Callithrix jacchus: one gene and its partners. The protein of the gene in region 1 interacts with the protein of each later gene in a pairwise test. Links are inferred from orthologs where the notes say so. Each region holds a gene or a part of one and is shown in the gene's direction. Other genes may lie near its edges.

Region 1 (4,041 bases):
CAATGAAACCCGGTCTCTACTGAAAATACAAAAATTAGGTGGGTGTGGTGGCACGCGCCTGTAGTCCCAGCTACTCGGGAGGCTAAGGCAGGAGAATCGTTTCAACCAACCTGGGAGGCGGAGACAGCAGTGAGCCGAGATCGCACCACTGCATTCCAGCCTGAGATACAGAGCAAGACTCCATCACAAAAAAACGAAAAACAGGACCGGGCGCGGTGGCTCAAGCCTGTAATCCCAGCACTTTGGGAGGCCGAGGCGGGTGGATCACGAGGTCAAGAGATCGAGACCATCCTGGTCAACATGGTGAAACCCCGTCTCTACTAAAAATATAAAAAATTAGCTGGGCATGGTGGTGCGTGCCTGTAATCCCAGCTACTCGGGAGGCTGAAGCAGAATTGCCTGAACCCAGGAGGCGGAGGTTGCAGTGAGCCGAGATCGCGCCATTGCACTCCAGCCTGGGTAACAAGAGCGAAACTCTGTCTCAAAAAAAAAAAAAGAAAAGAAAAACAAAAACAAAAAACAAACTTGGAATGATTATGTCAAAGGCTAGGATATAAGGATTTAATGTGTTGAGGCGGACACCTATTCCTCACTTGCTTAGGGACCCCAGACAGGCCCTTCCTCTCACTGATTCAGTTTTTTTCCCCCCAGAATGGGCACAAGCCCCCTTTTTCCTCCAGACCCTCCCCGGCCTGGGAAAATCCACCGAGTGTTCGAGGAGTGGGAGTTCCTTTGAGCCAATCGGTGGTGCCTGAAACCCCGCCTCCTTCACTACCCTTGGGCCAATCGTCGTGTTCTCCTTGAAGCCGGCCGCTTGGCGAGGGTGGGCCAAGGGCTGCGTGACGTCATGTTAGGATAAATCAATGGGAGCGATGAGGAGGCGGGTCGTTTTGGTGATGGACAGGCATTTCGAGACGCCCCTTTAGCGCGGGGCTCGCCGGGAAGCTTTGAGGCGGTGCTGGGGTAAAGGGGCGGGCATTTATGTAGACTTTGCCCAATCACCAGTCGCGCTTTTTGCAATAGACGGGCAGTTTTCCCCATCCCAGGTCGACTTGAGGGGGCGGGACTCTGGGCGCCAGAGTTGGCAAACCCCTGACCTATGATCGACGTCTTCTCTACCCAATAACTAGACGGTATTCTCAGACGGGCTGCCTCCTTTACCAATGAAATCTTCCGGCGGGGTCGCGGTAGGCGGGCCCTAGACCTTCTGGTATAAGACGGTCCCGGGGGAGTGAGGAGAAAGGGGGGGTCTTGGCGGCCGGAGGAGGATTAGGTGCGGGTGAAGATGGCGGCAGCCGAGGCCGCGAACTGCATCATGGAGGTGAGCGCTTGAAGCGCCGCCTTGAGAGGGGGGCGGCTTTGGGTCGGTGTTTCACAGCTCTGTGGTGGGGAAAGGGCTCTAAGTCGGCGACAGGAGGTTAGAGGTCGCCCGCCGCACACGGGGTCACCGCACGCTCCGCATCCGGGGATATCGTTTTAAGTTGCGGTTCCCTAGCTTTCAAGGGCCTTCGGCATCCGGCCTAGCGGAGGGTCTCATCCCCCCTCCCACGTGGAGGGGGGCTGGGGGCGCTTCCGGCCAGGCCCCCACGTGGCCTCGGCGCGGTGGGTGGGGAGGGGGTGTGCCGAGTCCGGTGGCCTGGCGGGCTCCACGTGCGGGACAAAGGCCCCGCCCCCGGCCGGGGAGGGGCGCCCGGGGGGGCGGGGAGGGGGCCCGACCCTCCGTCTGAGGCCACCAGCTCTCCTCCCCGGAGACGCGGGCACACGCCTTGGGGTGGGATTGATCTGGGGCCCACCAAGATGTAGGGAGTCTCTGGGGAAGGGCAGTGCTTCTCAGCCCTTTACAACCTCCTTCCGAGCTCCGGGGACATCTGTTGGGACAGCGGCCCCGGTTTTGTGCGTTCTGGGTTAGGCACTGGAGGAAGACAAAAGAATGGGGTCCCCCCGACCCCGTTTCCCATCTCAGAATTCTCCCCCTAGCCCAGAGCTTTAGGAGTTGGGGGATGGGGCATGCCCCTGTGACCTCCCTCTGGGTGGTTGTGGGGCATCTAGGTGGAGATTTTCCCATTAATAGGTGCCGTGCACCCCCTTGTGGCCATTTCTGGGTGTGTGGGAGGAACATCTTTTTCATGGGGCGTGTCCCGAAGCCCACCTACCGTCGGATTTCTTCCGGGCGGGGGAGGGAGGAGGGTATATCCGCTGGGAATGAGTGGTGGTGGGAAATACGTAGGCTGAGAGCTTTATCCTCTCCTGGAGCCCTTTATCTCCCCCGGGCCTTTGTGAGGGCGGGAGATGACCCCCCCCCCAGGGGGTCCTGAACCCCGGGGTCCTGAGGCTGGCTGCCTGAAAGGGTTTCGAGTTAGGTTGGGTTCTCTTTCAGCCATGTGGGGGAGGTTTCCGTCTTGCGTTTCAAGCCCTCTTGGGCTGGAATTGTCTTGAGGTAGTTTTCAGCGTGATTGAGAAATGGGCCCCCGCGGGAAAACCCCCCAGCACTTCTTATAGGCATCCGCGCTGGCTTGGGAGAGCTGGGGGGAGGGTGCTTGCAGCCTAGTAGGTCATGGCCTGTGATGTGGCCCTTCTTGGAGACTTGGAAAGTGGTCACATCTGGAAGAGATGTAATCTGATGGGACCTCTGTTCTTCCACCCCTTACCTATGGCACTGGCTGGAGGGGCAGGTCAGCTCTCAGGATGCAGTTCCCAGGGGTCACTGCTATGACTTCCCACCCCCTTGGCGGTCTCCTGCACCAGGGCTCTAAGGGTGGAGGAAATATCTTCCCCAGGGGTGGCCTCAGGCTTGGCCGCACCTAGGGGTCTTCAGGGCCTAGGATGGGTGTCTGAATGGAGGCGATGGGCTGACTCCCCAAGCCACTTTCTGGAGTCCTCTCATTCTTAGAGAGTCCAGGGGCTGCCCATCATCCCTGGGACTCCATCTTCCAGGGCAGAGGGTTGTAAGGGAGGGGGTTGGTTCCCGCTGGTTTTGTTTGGGGGCTCCTGAGCCCAAGGCAGGAGCTGGGGACTGGGGTACTAGCTCTGGGGGAGTGCCTGTGGGCCAAACCTCTTTTCTGGAATCCTCTCAGACAAGAGACTGGTTTGCAGAGGTGGCAGATGCCCTGTGGGCATAGCCTGCCAGCCCCCCTCCCTCCTGCTATTCATGGCACCCTAGGATAGGGGTGTGTGTGTCAGGAAGTGTCACCTAATCTGGGGGAGATTATGTGATGAGGGGGAGCGACAGCTGGCGGTGGCCAGTGCCAATTTCCCTGGCCTGGATGGGGGAGGTGTGTGGTCAGCTGCCTGGCCAGAGAGGAGCAACGTGGGGGCGGGCCACCATCTCTCCAGCCACAGCTGGGGTCGGAGACCCCCTTTCTTTTCTCTCCCCTCACTTTTCCCATCCCTTCTTAAGCACCCCACCTCATTACTTGCCCCCTTTGCCACCACTCCCCACAAAGAAGAAGAATTGCTGGAAACCCACCCACCCCACCTCCTGCCAGAGCCCAGGTCCCGCCGCCCAGCCCCCTGCAGCCACTCCTGGTAGCTAATCCTTTTTCCCTGTTACTCTCTCCTAGAATTTTGTAGCCACCTTGGCTAATGGGATGAGCCTCCAGCCGCCTCTTGAAGAAGTAAATATCCTTTTGTGAGACCCCTCCCCACCCTGACCTCCACATCAGTATATCTTGCCACACACTGGCCCTTTCTCGAGGTCTAATCATACCCCTCTTGCTTCAAACCAGTTGACCCCAGGCCCCCAGACACTTAGTAGCAACCCCTCCAGGTTCACGGCCCTGCTGGCCTCCCCCAGTATCAAGGCTACTTCCTTAACTCCACCTCCAGCCCCCCTTTGCCCTTCCCTGTGTCTGCCCCCGTTTTCCTTCCCCTCCCCTCCCCAGCTGTGGGCTGAGCTAGAGACGGGGGCAGAGAGACTGGAGATATGGTAGGCGTGGCTGAGGTATTGGGGTGCTCCCCTGGATGGTGCTCTGGGGGGGGTCGTGGAAGTGGAAAATGGGGCTGTTAGGTTTTGGGGTTCCTGGGGGGCTGTAGGGTTGTCAT
Region 2 (3,500 bases), about 34 Mb from region 1:
TGGGGGGAGGAGTAGGGAAGGGGACCAAGTGTGGGCGAGGGTGGCTCCAGGTCAGAGGGGAAGGCTGGCAGCTGGAGACAGTGTTTAGGCCTCCACTGGGCATCTCATTACTTATTCACTCAACAAGCATTTCCTGGCCAGGCACAGTGGCTCACGCCTATAATTTCAGCACTTTGGGAGGCTGAGGCAGGTGGATGGCTTGAGCACAGGAGTTTGAGACCAGCCTGGGCCACATGGCAAAACGCCATCTCTACAAAAAAAAAAAAAATTAGCCAGGCAGGATGGTGTGCACCTGTAGTCCCACCTGCTTGGGAGGTTGAGGTAGGAGGATTGCTTGAGCCTAGGAGCTCGAGGCTGCAGTGAGCCATGGTCGCATCCTGCACTCTAGTCTGCATGACGAGGAGACGTTGTTCAGACAAAACCGAACAAACAGAAACAAAAAAAACAAGCATCTGTTGAGTCCCTGCTTTGCACCAGGCCAAGTTCCTGGCTCTGGGGACAAAGTGGTGAACACATTCCCACATGTACAGAGCAGGGCTTGGAGGGAGGCAGTATGCAGAACATGATAAACAATTATCATATGATGTCAGTGGTGGCTGGTGCTGAGGAGGCAGGGAATGCCAGGCAGGGGTGGGGGGAGGTTGCCATCATCAGGAAGGTGGTTGGGGAAGGGGTCCTCGCTAAGGCAACATGGAGCTCAGATGGCTCGGGTGCCGTGGAGTCAGCTGTGGCGGGATCTGAGGGAAAAGCACTCCAGGTAGTAGGAACAGCCAGTGGGAAGGCCTTAAGGTTAGAGAAAGAAGTCGGCTCCGCAGAATGCAGTGGCTCCTGCCTGTAGTCCCAGCACTTTGGGAGGCCAAGTTAGAAGGATTGCTTGAATCCAGGACTTCAAGACCAGGCCGGGCAACATGGTGAAACCCCGTCTTTACTGAAAATATGAAAATTAGCTGTGCATGGTGGTGCATGCCTGTAGTCCCAGCTACTCAGGAGGCTGAGGTGGGAGGATCGCCTGAGCCCAGGGAGGTCAAGGCTGCAGTGAGTCATCTTCCGGCCACTGCACTCCAACCTGGACAACAGAGCGAGACCCTATCTTTAATAAAAGGGCTCAAGAAAAGATGAGAAAAGTGAGGGACCAGTGTGGATGGAAGGAGGAGTGACAGGGCAGATTGTGCAGGCCCACATAGGCTGTAGTGACGACTTGGGCTCTGTTCTGAGTGAAATGGGAGCCGCCAGGGTTCTCAGCAGAGGATGGAGGAACCTGACCCTCTTGGGTGTGCACTGGCACCTGTTGGGGCAAGGAAGTTGGGAGCCCAGGGCACTGGAGGTGGACGCAGATTTTTTCCCGGGGCTATCTCAGGAGCAGGGGTTGAGTATGGGGCCGGGGGTAAGGGACAGGCCGCCCACCAGAGTGACAGGCCGTTCCTGCCGGCAGGCCCGGGTGGAGCGCATGGAGCAGTTCCAGAAGGAGAAGGAGGAACTGGACAGGGGCTGCCGCGAGTGCAAGCGCAAGGTGGCCGAGTGTCAGAGGAAGTTGAAGGAGCTGGAGGTGGCCGAGGGCGGCAAGGCAGAGCTGGAGCGGCTGCAGGCTGAAGCGCAGCAGCTGCGCAAGGAGGAGCGAAGTTGGGAGCAGAAACTGGAGGAGATGCGCAAGAAGGAGAAGAGCATGCCCTGGAACGTGGACACGCTCAGCAAAGATGGCTTCAGCAAGGTGTGCAGGGCGGGCGGGCAGTGCGCATGCGCAGCCAGTGAGTGTGCAGCCAGGACGCATGCGCACCCAATGCCAAGTCAGGGGAGGACCCCGGTGGTGAAATTGAAGAGTGTGGTGTGGGGGTTGGGGGATGGACGGGGGCCATGTAGGGAGGGGGGACAGGCTTGGGGAGCCGGGCGGATGAAACACCCCACCGGTCCCCTCCTCTGATCTGCCCCAAGGCCCATGCCCACGCTCCCGCCACCTTGATGCTCATGGCTTCGTCACCACCTCCGCCGTGGATGGGATGGGCGCTGCGGCCACGGCCCGTCCGGCCGCGCTCGAGGCGCTCCGCAGCCTTGCCCCAGCCCACTCCCCTTCTCACCCTACCACAGAGCATGGTCAATACCAAGCCTGAGAAAGCAGAGGAGGACTCAGAGGAGGTGAGGGAGCAGAAACACAAGACCTTCGTGGAAAAGTATGAGAAACAGATCAAGCACTTTGGTGAGTGGGGCGTGTGGGTTATGGGGGAGCCAGGTCAGGGCAGGCCCTTTGTCTCCAGGGCCCTCCAGCACCTTGCCAGCATCTTCCCACAGGCATGCTCCGCCGCTGGGATGACAGTCAAAAGTACCTGTCGGACAATGTCCACCTGGTGTGCGAGGAGACGGCCAATTACCTGGTCATCTGGTGCATTGACCTAGAGGTGGAGGAGGTGAGTGGAGCTTTCCCAGGGCTGTGAAAAGGCGCTGCCACACGCCGTCACTTGGTGACACTGCCTGTTGTCCCTGGTAGAAATGTGCACTCATGGAGCAGGTGGCCCACCAGACAATCGTCATGCAGTTTATACTGGAGCTGGCCAAGAGCCTGAAGGTGGACCCCCGGGCCTGCTTCCGGCAGTTCTTCACTAAGATTAAGGTAGGGGCTGTGAGCTGCCAGGTGGCCAGAGGCCCCCTCCTCAGGGGACCAGCCTACAGTGCTCTGGGCAAGGCCAACTCCTGTCCACAGGGACTCAAACCCCTCCAATTGCAGCATCCTAGTTAGGAGACGGCGGGGGCAGGGAGGGTAGAGAGGTGGGCTGATCCTGCCAGACTTTAAAAGTGGACATCAGGCCAGGCTTGGTGACTGAGTACTGTAGTCTCAGCTATTTGGGAGCCTGAGACAGAGGACCACTTGAGCTCAGGAGCTTGTCAGCTATGGTGTGCCACTGCATTCCAGCCTGGGTGACAGAGTAAAACCACATTAAAAAAAAAAGTGGACACTGGGCACAGTGGCTTATGCCTGTCATCCCAGTACTTTGGGAGGCCAAAGCGAGCAGATCACCTGAGCCTGGGAGGTCGCGACCAGCCTGACCAACATGGAGAAACCACGTCTCTACTAAAAATACAAAATTAGCTGGGCATGGTGGTGCATGTCTATAATCCCAGGTACTCAGGAGGCTGAGGCAGGAGAATTGCTTGAACCTGGGAGGCAGAGGTTGCAGTGAGCTGAGATTGCGCCATTGCACTCCAGCCTGGACAACAAGAGCAAAGCTCCGTCTCAAAAAAATAAAAAGTGGGGGCAGTAGGATGTGCTGAAGGTCCCCATGTGGATTTGGGGGTAATATGGGTGTCTCTAGGGTTTTGAGGGTTTTTTTTTGAGACAGAATCTTGCTCTGTCACCCAGGCTGGAATGCAGTTACTCGATCTGAGCTCAGTGCAACCTCTGCCTCCCCGGTTCAAGTGATTCTCATGCCTCCACCTTCCAAGTAGCTGGGATTACAGGCACCTGCCAGCCTCTAGAGTTTTAACCTGTGCATCTGCAGGAACAGGGCTAC
Region 3 (3,500 bases), on another chromosome or scaffold:
CAGAACAGCTGCTTTTGTTAATCAGCAATTCTACCTTCAGTAAATTAAAGTCTTTATTTTACCTGGTGTACATGAAGTTCCTTAAAGATCTAATGCTTCCATGTACATTTTCTTTGGTTTTACAGGATTATTATTGCCAATTTAGGTCAGCTACATCACAGGAGGAATAAATTATTATTTTGGTAGAGGTTATTAGCAGCATGTATACAAATTAGTTTAGATAAATCATGCATTGTCCTACAAACTAGTTATTTCTGGCTTAATGTAATATAGCTCCTGAATTTTTTCCAGCAGCATAATAAAATGGCTAATCAGGTGAATGGTAATGCGGTACAGTTAAAAGAAGAGGAAGAACCAATGGATACTTCCAGTGTAACTCACACAGAACACTACAAGACACTGATAGAGGCAGGCCTCCCACAGAAGGTGGCAGAAAGACTTGATGAAATATTTCAGACAGGTATAATATGCATTTCTTGTTTCTGACTGGTTATGAAAGTGAGGGCAAACCACTTTGAATTTTATAGATTTTTAAGGTTAAATAATACTGTTTCTGATCTGTAGAGCTTAATGTTTGTTACTTTCCCTTCATTGAAGGCATATTGGGTTTGACTTTGATACTCTTATTTCATTATTTTGAAGCCTTCTTAGTGTTGAATATACAGTCTTAGTTGTTTCAGAACAGCACATCAATTTGTCTTAGATTTACCACTCATTAAAATGTATGTTTCTGCATACCGAATTTTACATTTTTTTCTTAATCGAAATCAGTCATCATTTTGCTTTTACTTTTCTACTTTTAGCTTCTTAAAGTGATTGTTAAATCAGAGTAGGTCTGATTAGGTGGCATAATAAGAGGATAGACTGTATCGTCTGAAACCATAATAAATGTTAGACTCCTTGAGAGTTTGTGGCTTGTCTAGTTTCTAATAGAAATCCACATCTCTCCGTAATTTGGAAGTGTTTGGTTTGTAAGAGCTGCTTTTTTTTTAAATCTAGAAGTGCCATGGTTAAGTGCTTAAGCAAATTTGAACATCTTAATATAGTTGGTTGTAAGTGGTTTGAAGTTTTAAAGAGGGAGAGAAATATTTACCCTTAGGGAGTGTTGTTCATAAATAAATGTGTCCTCCTCCTTTGGGGCCATAGATGGAAACTTTCTTCCTCTGTGTTTTGTGTGCCTATTCAGATTCTGAGAGAGAATTGAATTGTCTCACTCACAAATGTGTCTTAAGTACAGTAGTAATAAATAGTTGTTTATTTTTTTGTCCTTAAAAAATTTTTAAATCTGGAAAGCTTAGCATAATTTTAGACATTAAAATGACTTATAAAAATGACTCCTGGGTGATGGTCTCATTTGAAAATCAGTCCTCAGGAACTTTCTGTGATATTCTGCCATAGAGAATTGGCAGTGATCTGCTTAGAGATGCTCTCTTGTAGAGTGTTTTGTTATCGATAAGAGGCTGACGGTTTGGCTTAGGCTTGGTTTGACAAAGTGGATTGGTGGGTGTCCTGAGTTGTGGCTTTGGGTGGTGGTATGGAATATTCAAGGAAGGCAACTCCAGTTATTTACACATGCTCATTTTGAGCTTTTGAAACAAATCATGGCAACTTTTTTTCAAAGTAACTTTGGAGGTGGCATTACATTTATTTAAAATTTACTGTATAGAATAAAGTTCTTTTTGGCTTTACCAAAATGGAGTCACTTTTCATGTTCATATGAACTTGGGGGTTTTAATCTACAAAATATTTCCATTTTACATTGGATCAATTCTGAAATATATCCCATATATATAAATATGACATAAACTTAATAGACTTAAGAAATTATATTTTAAAATTAGTAGATGTTCTATGTGCAGTTGGATATACTACATATGTGAAATGCAGTGTATATGTTTTCTGTTGAGTTTACTTGTGAGTCCATAAAGTCTTTATTGCCATTTGAAAAAGATTGTCATTCTTGACAGTCAGTGTTGTGAATGCCACAGCATCTTTTAAATCTCAGCTTGTCACTTCAGAAGAACGAAGAATGCCTTCAAATGTGACTTTCAGAATTGACAAATCAAGCTGCACTTGCATTTGTAGAAGTTTAAAATTGTGCCTTTCCACATTCTGACTGCAGCAAAGTGGATGCTCAGATAAACAAATGCATTTCAGTTTATCTTTGGTGTTAAGAAGGGAAAGCCTTTTGATACTTTCTGGAGAGTGGAAAGAATTAGTAAAATTTGTTTTCAGATTTTCCCCCACCTCTTATGTGGTTAGCATCAACTGTAACCATTTGTAATTTGAAGGTTTATCCTTGAAAAGTACAGTGTATTCTTATTACTCTAATATAAACCAAAATTTGTTAATGCATAATCTGTAATACAATATGTACGTCAGATTCAACTTCCAAGACTTATACCTTTGGGGGAGTGGGAAATGGATGTTAGGATTTGACGGAAGAGCTTTTGTGGATATGCAGATTGAAATTCATGTTTTTGGTTGTTGACATTTTATCTTTATTTGCATATTTGTACTGGACCGTTCTATGTAGTATTTGGATAGCTTCATATATGCATATAGTTAAATGAAAGTATAGTTTTTTAGTGATCATATTGAATATAACACTTCTTGATTAAACAATAATTTAGACTGCCCCTTTGTTGCAATAACGTTACCCCTTTTCAATTTAATTTTTAGGATTGGTAGCTTATGTCGATCTTGATGAACGAGCAATTGATGCTCTCAGGGAATTTAATGAAGAAGGAGCTCTGTCTGTACTACAGCAGTTCAAGGAAAGTGACTTATCACATGTTCAGGTAAGGTCATTACTCAGAAATGTCTTTGAATAATTAATGAGCTGAAATTATTTTACTAGTTTTTTTCCTGTGGGGAAGTGGTTATTTTTTGTGACTACCTCTTCTTCTTTTAAAAATTAAAGGAAAAAAAGATCTGCTTGTGGCAGAATTTCAGAAGCACAAGTATAAAGTGAAAGTTTCCTCCCACCCCTTTGTGTAGTAAGTTGTTTTAAAAACTTAAAGTCAAGTTTTGATGGTTGTTACTATAGGTTTTTACATGTTACTCAGCTTTTTAACTTTTGGGGGTTATCTGATCCTGTTTTATTATCTTGGAGGAAAATGTAGGTGGGAGGAATAGTTTCAGACATCTGGCAAAGATAGTCTAGATGCAATCACTTATCAACAGATGGAAGACTGTGTTTTCCCAGGGAGAAGATAAGCTCCCTGAGGTCTGTACTGCCTTACTGCTATCTGCTTCAGCCTCTGGAATGTAGTAACCACTGGGCAGATGTTTGTTTAATGAATCAGTAAATACTTTGTTAAAATCCTGGTCTTTTGAGATTTAAATTTAATTATATAACTGACCCTTCAAAGATTTTTGGTGATTCTTTTTATTGAATTACTTGTCTGTTCTAGAACAAAAGTGCATTTTTATGTGGAGTTATGAAGACCTACAGGCAGAGAGAGAAACAGGGAAGCAAGGTGCAAGAGTCCACAAAG
Region 4 (3,500 bases), on another chromosome or scaffold:
AGGGAAGAGTTGGAGGCAGAGGGAGGAGGGCCCTGCCCACACAGACCCCTTCTTCTCCAGACTCAGAGACAGCTGAGGATGACATCAGCGATGTGCAGGGGACCCAGCGCCTGGAGCTTCGGGATGACGGGGCCTTCAGCACCCCCACGGGTGAGCTCCTGCGGTGTACAAAGAGCAGGCAGGCGGGTTTCCCACAAGGGGTGCCTCGGTCTCACGGTGCTCCTTTCTCTAGGGGGCTCTGACACCCTGGTGGGCACCTCCCTGGACACACCCCCGACCTCCGTGACAGGGACCTCAGAGGAGCAAGTGAGCTGGTGGGGCAGCGGGCAGACGGTCCTGGAGCAGGAAGCGGGCAGTGGGGGTGGCACCCGCCGCCTCCCGGGCAGCCCAAGGCAAGCACAGGCAACCGGGGCCGGGCCACGGCACCTGGGGGTGGAGCCGCTGGTGCGGGCATCTCGAGCTAATCTGGTGGGCGCAAGCTGGGGGTCAGAGGATAGCCTTTCCGTGGCCAGTGACCTGTACGGCAGCGCATTCAGCCTGTACAGAGGACGGGCGCTCTCGATCCACGTGTAAGTAATGGCCTTACCTGGGCCTGCACTGCCCCATCTCACCACGCTGTCCTGCGCTGCCCTCACTGCTCCGTCAGCCTCCACCCATCACCCTTCCCCATCCATCTCTCTGTGCACTTCTTCACCCCCTGCTGCCACTCCATCTTCCCACACTGCTCCCTCCTCCTCCTGAGCCATCACCGCCCACATCGCCCTGCTCCCACCTGTCCTGGCTCACTGTGCCATCTCCACGGTCTCCTGGACCTTTCTGTCCCTTCCTTGTCTCCTCCAAGATCTTCAGTTTCTCAGGGGCCCTCTTCTGCCTCACCCATTCAGGCTCCAGTTGTCCCCAGGATCCCTCCCCCCACCCGGGGGCCCCCTCCGTGCCTGCTGTCTCAGCAGCTGCTGCCTTTTCATCTCTGCACATTCCTGTTCCCATGTGGGCCTTTTTCTGGGAGGAACAGAACCTTTCCACACGGCAGCTCCCGGGAGAGCAGGAGAGAGCAGGGGAGCAAGCAAGCAAGCAGGAGAGAGAAGAGTGTGAGGTGGCCAGGGGCAGATGGGGCAAGGGGCCTGTGAAAGCAGGAGGCCGTGGGCTGGGGGTGGCAGGGGGCTGGGAAAGGAAGGAGCTGGCAATGGGGCCAGGTTGGAGGGAGGGGGGCAGTGAGGGTGGCAGGGGTCTTGCAACGATTTCTCTCATAAAAACTCCTAAGTTCCCGACGGTGGGGTTCAAGGTTGTCCTGGGAGGGGGTGTGAGAAGTGGACATGGAGTGAGGCACTGGAGCCATTTTTGGATATCTGGGGCTGGCAGATACAGGAGGAAGTGCTAGAGTGGAAGAGGGGAGTGGCTGAGGATAGAGATACTGGGGACATTTGGGGAGCTGAGGGGGCCCTGGTTTGTGATGGGTATGGGTGTGGGGGGCAGGTACCTTCATGGAGGAGAAAGAAGTGGCCTGGTGGGGGAGGCTGTTTTGAGGGTGGGTAGAGTGGCTAGTGGTGGGCAGGGGAGAGGGCCAGGGCCAGGGAGAGTCTCCCTTGGCTTATCTTGTTGGCCTTACCCGGCACTCCTGTGCCCTGGACTCGCCTTTCCCTCCCTGCCTTTCTTTACCAGGCCCCAGCCAGAGCCTGGAGTTGCTATGGCAACTTCGGAGGAACCCATTTCCTTAGTGATGTCTGTGGTACAGAGCCTGGCCTGGAGCTCAGAGCTGCCGGCAAGAGGCCTCCTCTGCTGTCCTCAATTTCTCTCCAGGCCTCAGCTCCCAGAGGCCCTTCCCTGGGGACTCTGCCGCCCTTCCCCTAGAGTAGACACTGCCTCCCTAGAGGTGGCCGGCTGGGGTTTCTGCCCCACAGGGCACTCTGCATTGCCACCACCCCTTTTAGCCCCAGTCAGAGGTGGGTCTGTCGTATGGGTGGCTGACCCAAGTAGGCTAAAACATCCTTAACTCAGACCCCGAGAACTGCTCGTGGCTGGTACCCCACTACTTGTCTTCCCTTCTGTGGCCCTGGGAACCCAGACACTTTGGAGGGAATAGGGCTCAGAATTCCGACTGCCTGGGTTTCAACCCTAGCACCAATAATTTCCCAGCTGTGTCACCTTGGTAAGGCACTTAACCTTTTTTATGCCTCAGTTTCTTCATCTGTAAATGGGGGTGATCACAGTTCCTACCTCACAGGGTTGTTGTGGGCATTAAGACTCAATGCATTTTAAGAACTTGGTACAAGCCTGGCACACAGGAAATACTGAATGAGCCATTTTACAGGTTTTTATTAAGCTCTCCGATGTGTCAGGTATGAAAATACCTCTAATTCCTTTCTTTCTTTTTCTTTTCTTTTTTTTTTTTTCTAATCTTTATGTGTGATGTGCCCCCTTACCCCCTGGAGGGTCCAGATGGGGAAAACAGACCCAGCTCTTGGGCATCAAAGCTCTGTTAAGCGAACGGGATACTCTGGGGTGACCGGCTCCTTCCCTCCTCCTCTTCTCCCACACTCCCTGTTCAGGCCCACTTAGTAGCTATTTCTGAGCTGAGTTATTTCAGAGCATACCCCTGTGGGGGGCCTTCTGTGCTTCTCAGGGGGATTTCCAAGCACTCAAGATAGCTTTCCCAGGGGAAGTGCAAGGCAAAGGCCTATCCTGGGGGCAGACTGAGCAGGGGGACTAGGATCCTGGGCATCCCGTCGCCACCTGCTGTGTCCCATCAGTGCTGGTGGTGGCGGCAGGGATGGGCTCAGGTCTACACAGCAGCCAGGAAATCCTAGAGATAGTCCACTGCTCCCCAAAGGCTTGTGCCAGGTCCAGGAGGCTGTTACTTGGCTTCTAGGGGCCACCAGGAGGGGGTGTGCCCTGCTGAGGATGGGCAGGGGTGTGGGGACCAGCTGGGGGCTGGAATGAGTGGGAGGCTGCATTCCTGAGGGCGCCCCTCCCCACCCCACCCTCTTGTCTTTCCTCCCCAATTCATCCTTTGGGTCCTAAGCTTCATTCTTTTCTCTCCCTCATGCTTAGTTCTGTTTCCGCTGTTTCTTGGCTTCCAGGACTGGGGGAAGGAGGCTGGCCCGAGTCTTGGGGCTGAGTCCATAACAAGACCCAGCCACTGGCCCAGTCTTGTGGTTCCAGAGCAGCCAGCCTCTCCCCCAGCACCTGCTCTGGCTGTGCGCTCCTTGTGGGGGCGGGGGGAAGAGGATCTGGCCCATGTCACCCCAAAGCCTGCCCAGCATGCCCACCACCCAATCCCTGTCACAAGCTAAGAGTCTAGGAGGGGAGGCCTACTGAATCCTCGACCCCTCTCCGTCTTGGTTCTGCAGCAGCGTCCCTCAGAGCGGGTTGCGCAGGGAGGAGCCCGACCTTCAGCCTCAGCTGGCCAGCGAAGCCCCGCGCCGTCCGGCCCAGCCACTTCCCTCCAAATCCGCGCTGCTTCCCCCACCGTCCCCTCGGGTGGGGAAGCGGTCCCCACCGGG

What was found.
Region 2: the proteins of PRMT1 (region 1) and CDC37 interact in binary tests that used the Homo sapiens proteins (3 or more experiments, as listed by UniProt). The link is inferred for Callithrix jacchus from reciprocal best matches to the Homo sapiens genes PRMT1 and CDC37.
Region 3: the proteins of PRMT1 (region 1) and HNRNPR interact in binary tests that used the Homo sapiens proteins (3 or more experiments, as listed by UniProt). The link is inferred for Callithrix jacchus from reciprocal best matches to the Homo sapiens genes PRMT1 and HNRNPR.
Region 4: the proteins of PRMT1 (region 1) and SPEG interact in binary tests that used the Homo sapiens proteins (3 or more experiments, as listed by UniProt). The two-hybrid records come from large-scale screens. The link is inferred for Callithrix jacchus from reciprocal best matches to the Homo sapiens genes PRMT1 and SPEG.

What each region holds. Positions count from the first base shown.
Region 1 is NC_133523.1:43,444,234-43,448,274, forward strand, and holds the start of PRMT1 (protein arginine N-methyltransferase 1), read left to right. Parts: upstream 1-1,241; 5' UTR 1,242-1,285; coding exon 1,286-1,321; intron 1,322-1,420; exon of another isoform or gene 1,421-1,602; intron 1,603-3,560; coding exon 3,561-3,614; intron 3,615-3,825; exon of another isoform or gene 3,826-3,922; coding exon of another isoform or gene 3,923-3,940; intron 3,941-4,041. UniProt on the Homo sapiens protein: Arginine methyltransferase that methylates (mono and asymmetric dimethylation) the guanidino nitrogens of arginyl residues present in proteins such as ESR1, histone H2, H3 and H4, FMR1, ILF3, HNRNPA1, HNRNPD, NFATC2IP, SUPT5H, TAF15, EWS, HABP4, SERBP1, RBM15, FOXO1, CHTOP, MAP3K5/ASK1, MICU1 and NPRL2.
Region 2 is NC_133523.1:9,585,356-9,588,855, reverse strand, and holds part of CDC37 (hsp90 co-chaperone Cdc37), read left to right. Parts: intron 1-1,432; coding exon 1,433-1,708; intron 1,709-2,082; coding exon 2,083-2,191; intron 2,192-2,283; coding exon 2,284-2,399; intron 2,400-2,479; coding exon 2,480-2,602; intron 2,603-3,500. UniProt on the Homo sapiens protein: Co-chaperone that binds to numerous kinases and promotes their interaction with the Hsp90 complex, resulting in stabilization and promotion of their activity. Inhibits HSP90AA1 ATPase activity.
Region 3 is NC_133508.1:60,092,910-60,096,409, reverse strand, and holds part of HNRNPR (heterogeneous nuclear ribonucleoprotein R), read left to right. Parts: intron 1-291; 5' UTR 292-303; coding exon 304-460; intron 461-2,682; coding exon 2,683-2,801; intron 2,802-3,416; coding exon 3,417-3,500. UniProt on the Homo sapiens protein: Component of ribonucleosomes, which are complexes of at least 20 other different heterogeneous nuclear ribonucleoproteins (hnRNP). hnRNP play an important role in processing of precursor mRNA in the nucleus.
Region 4 is NC_133507.1:141,187,900-141,191,399, forward strand, and holds part of SPEG (striated muscle preferentially expressed protein kinase), read left to right. Parts: intron 1-60; coding exon 61-150; intron 151-232; coding exon 233-569; intron 570-955; exon of another isoform or gene 956-1,093; intron 1,094-2,308; exon of another isoform or gene 2,309-2,336; intron 2,337-3,347; coding exon 3,348-3,500.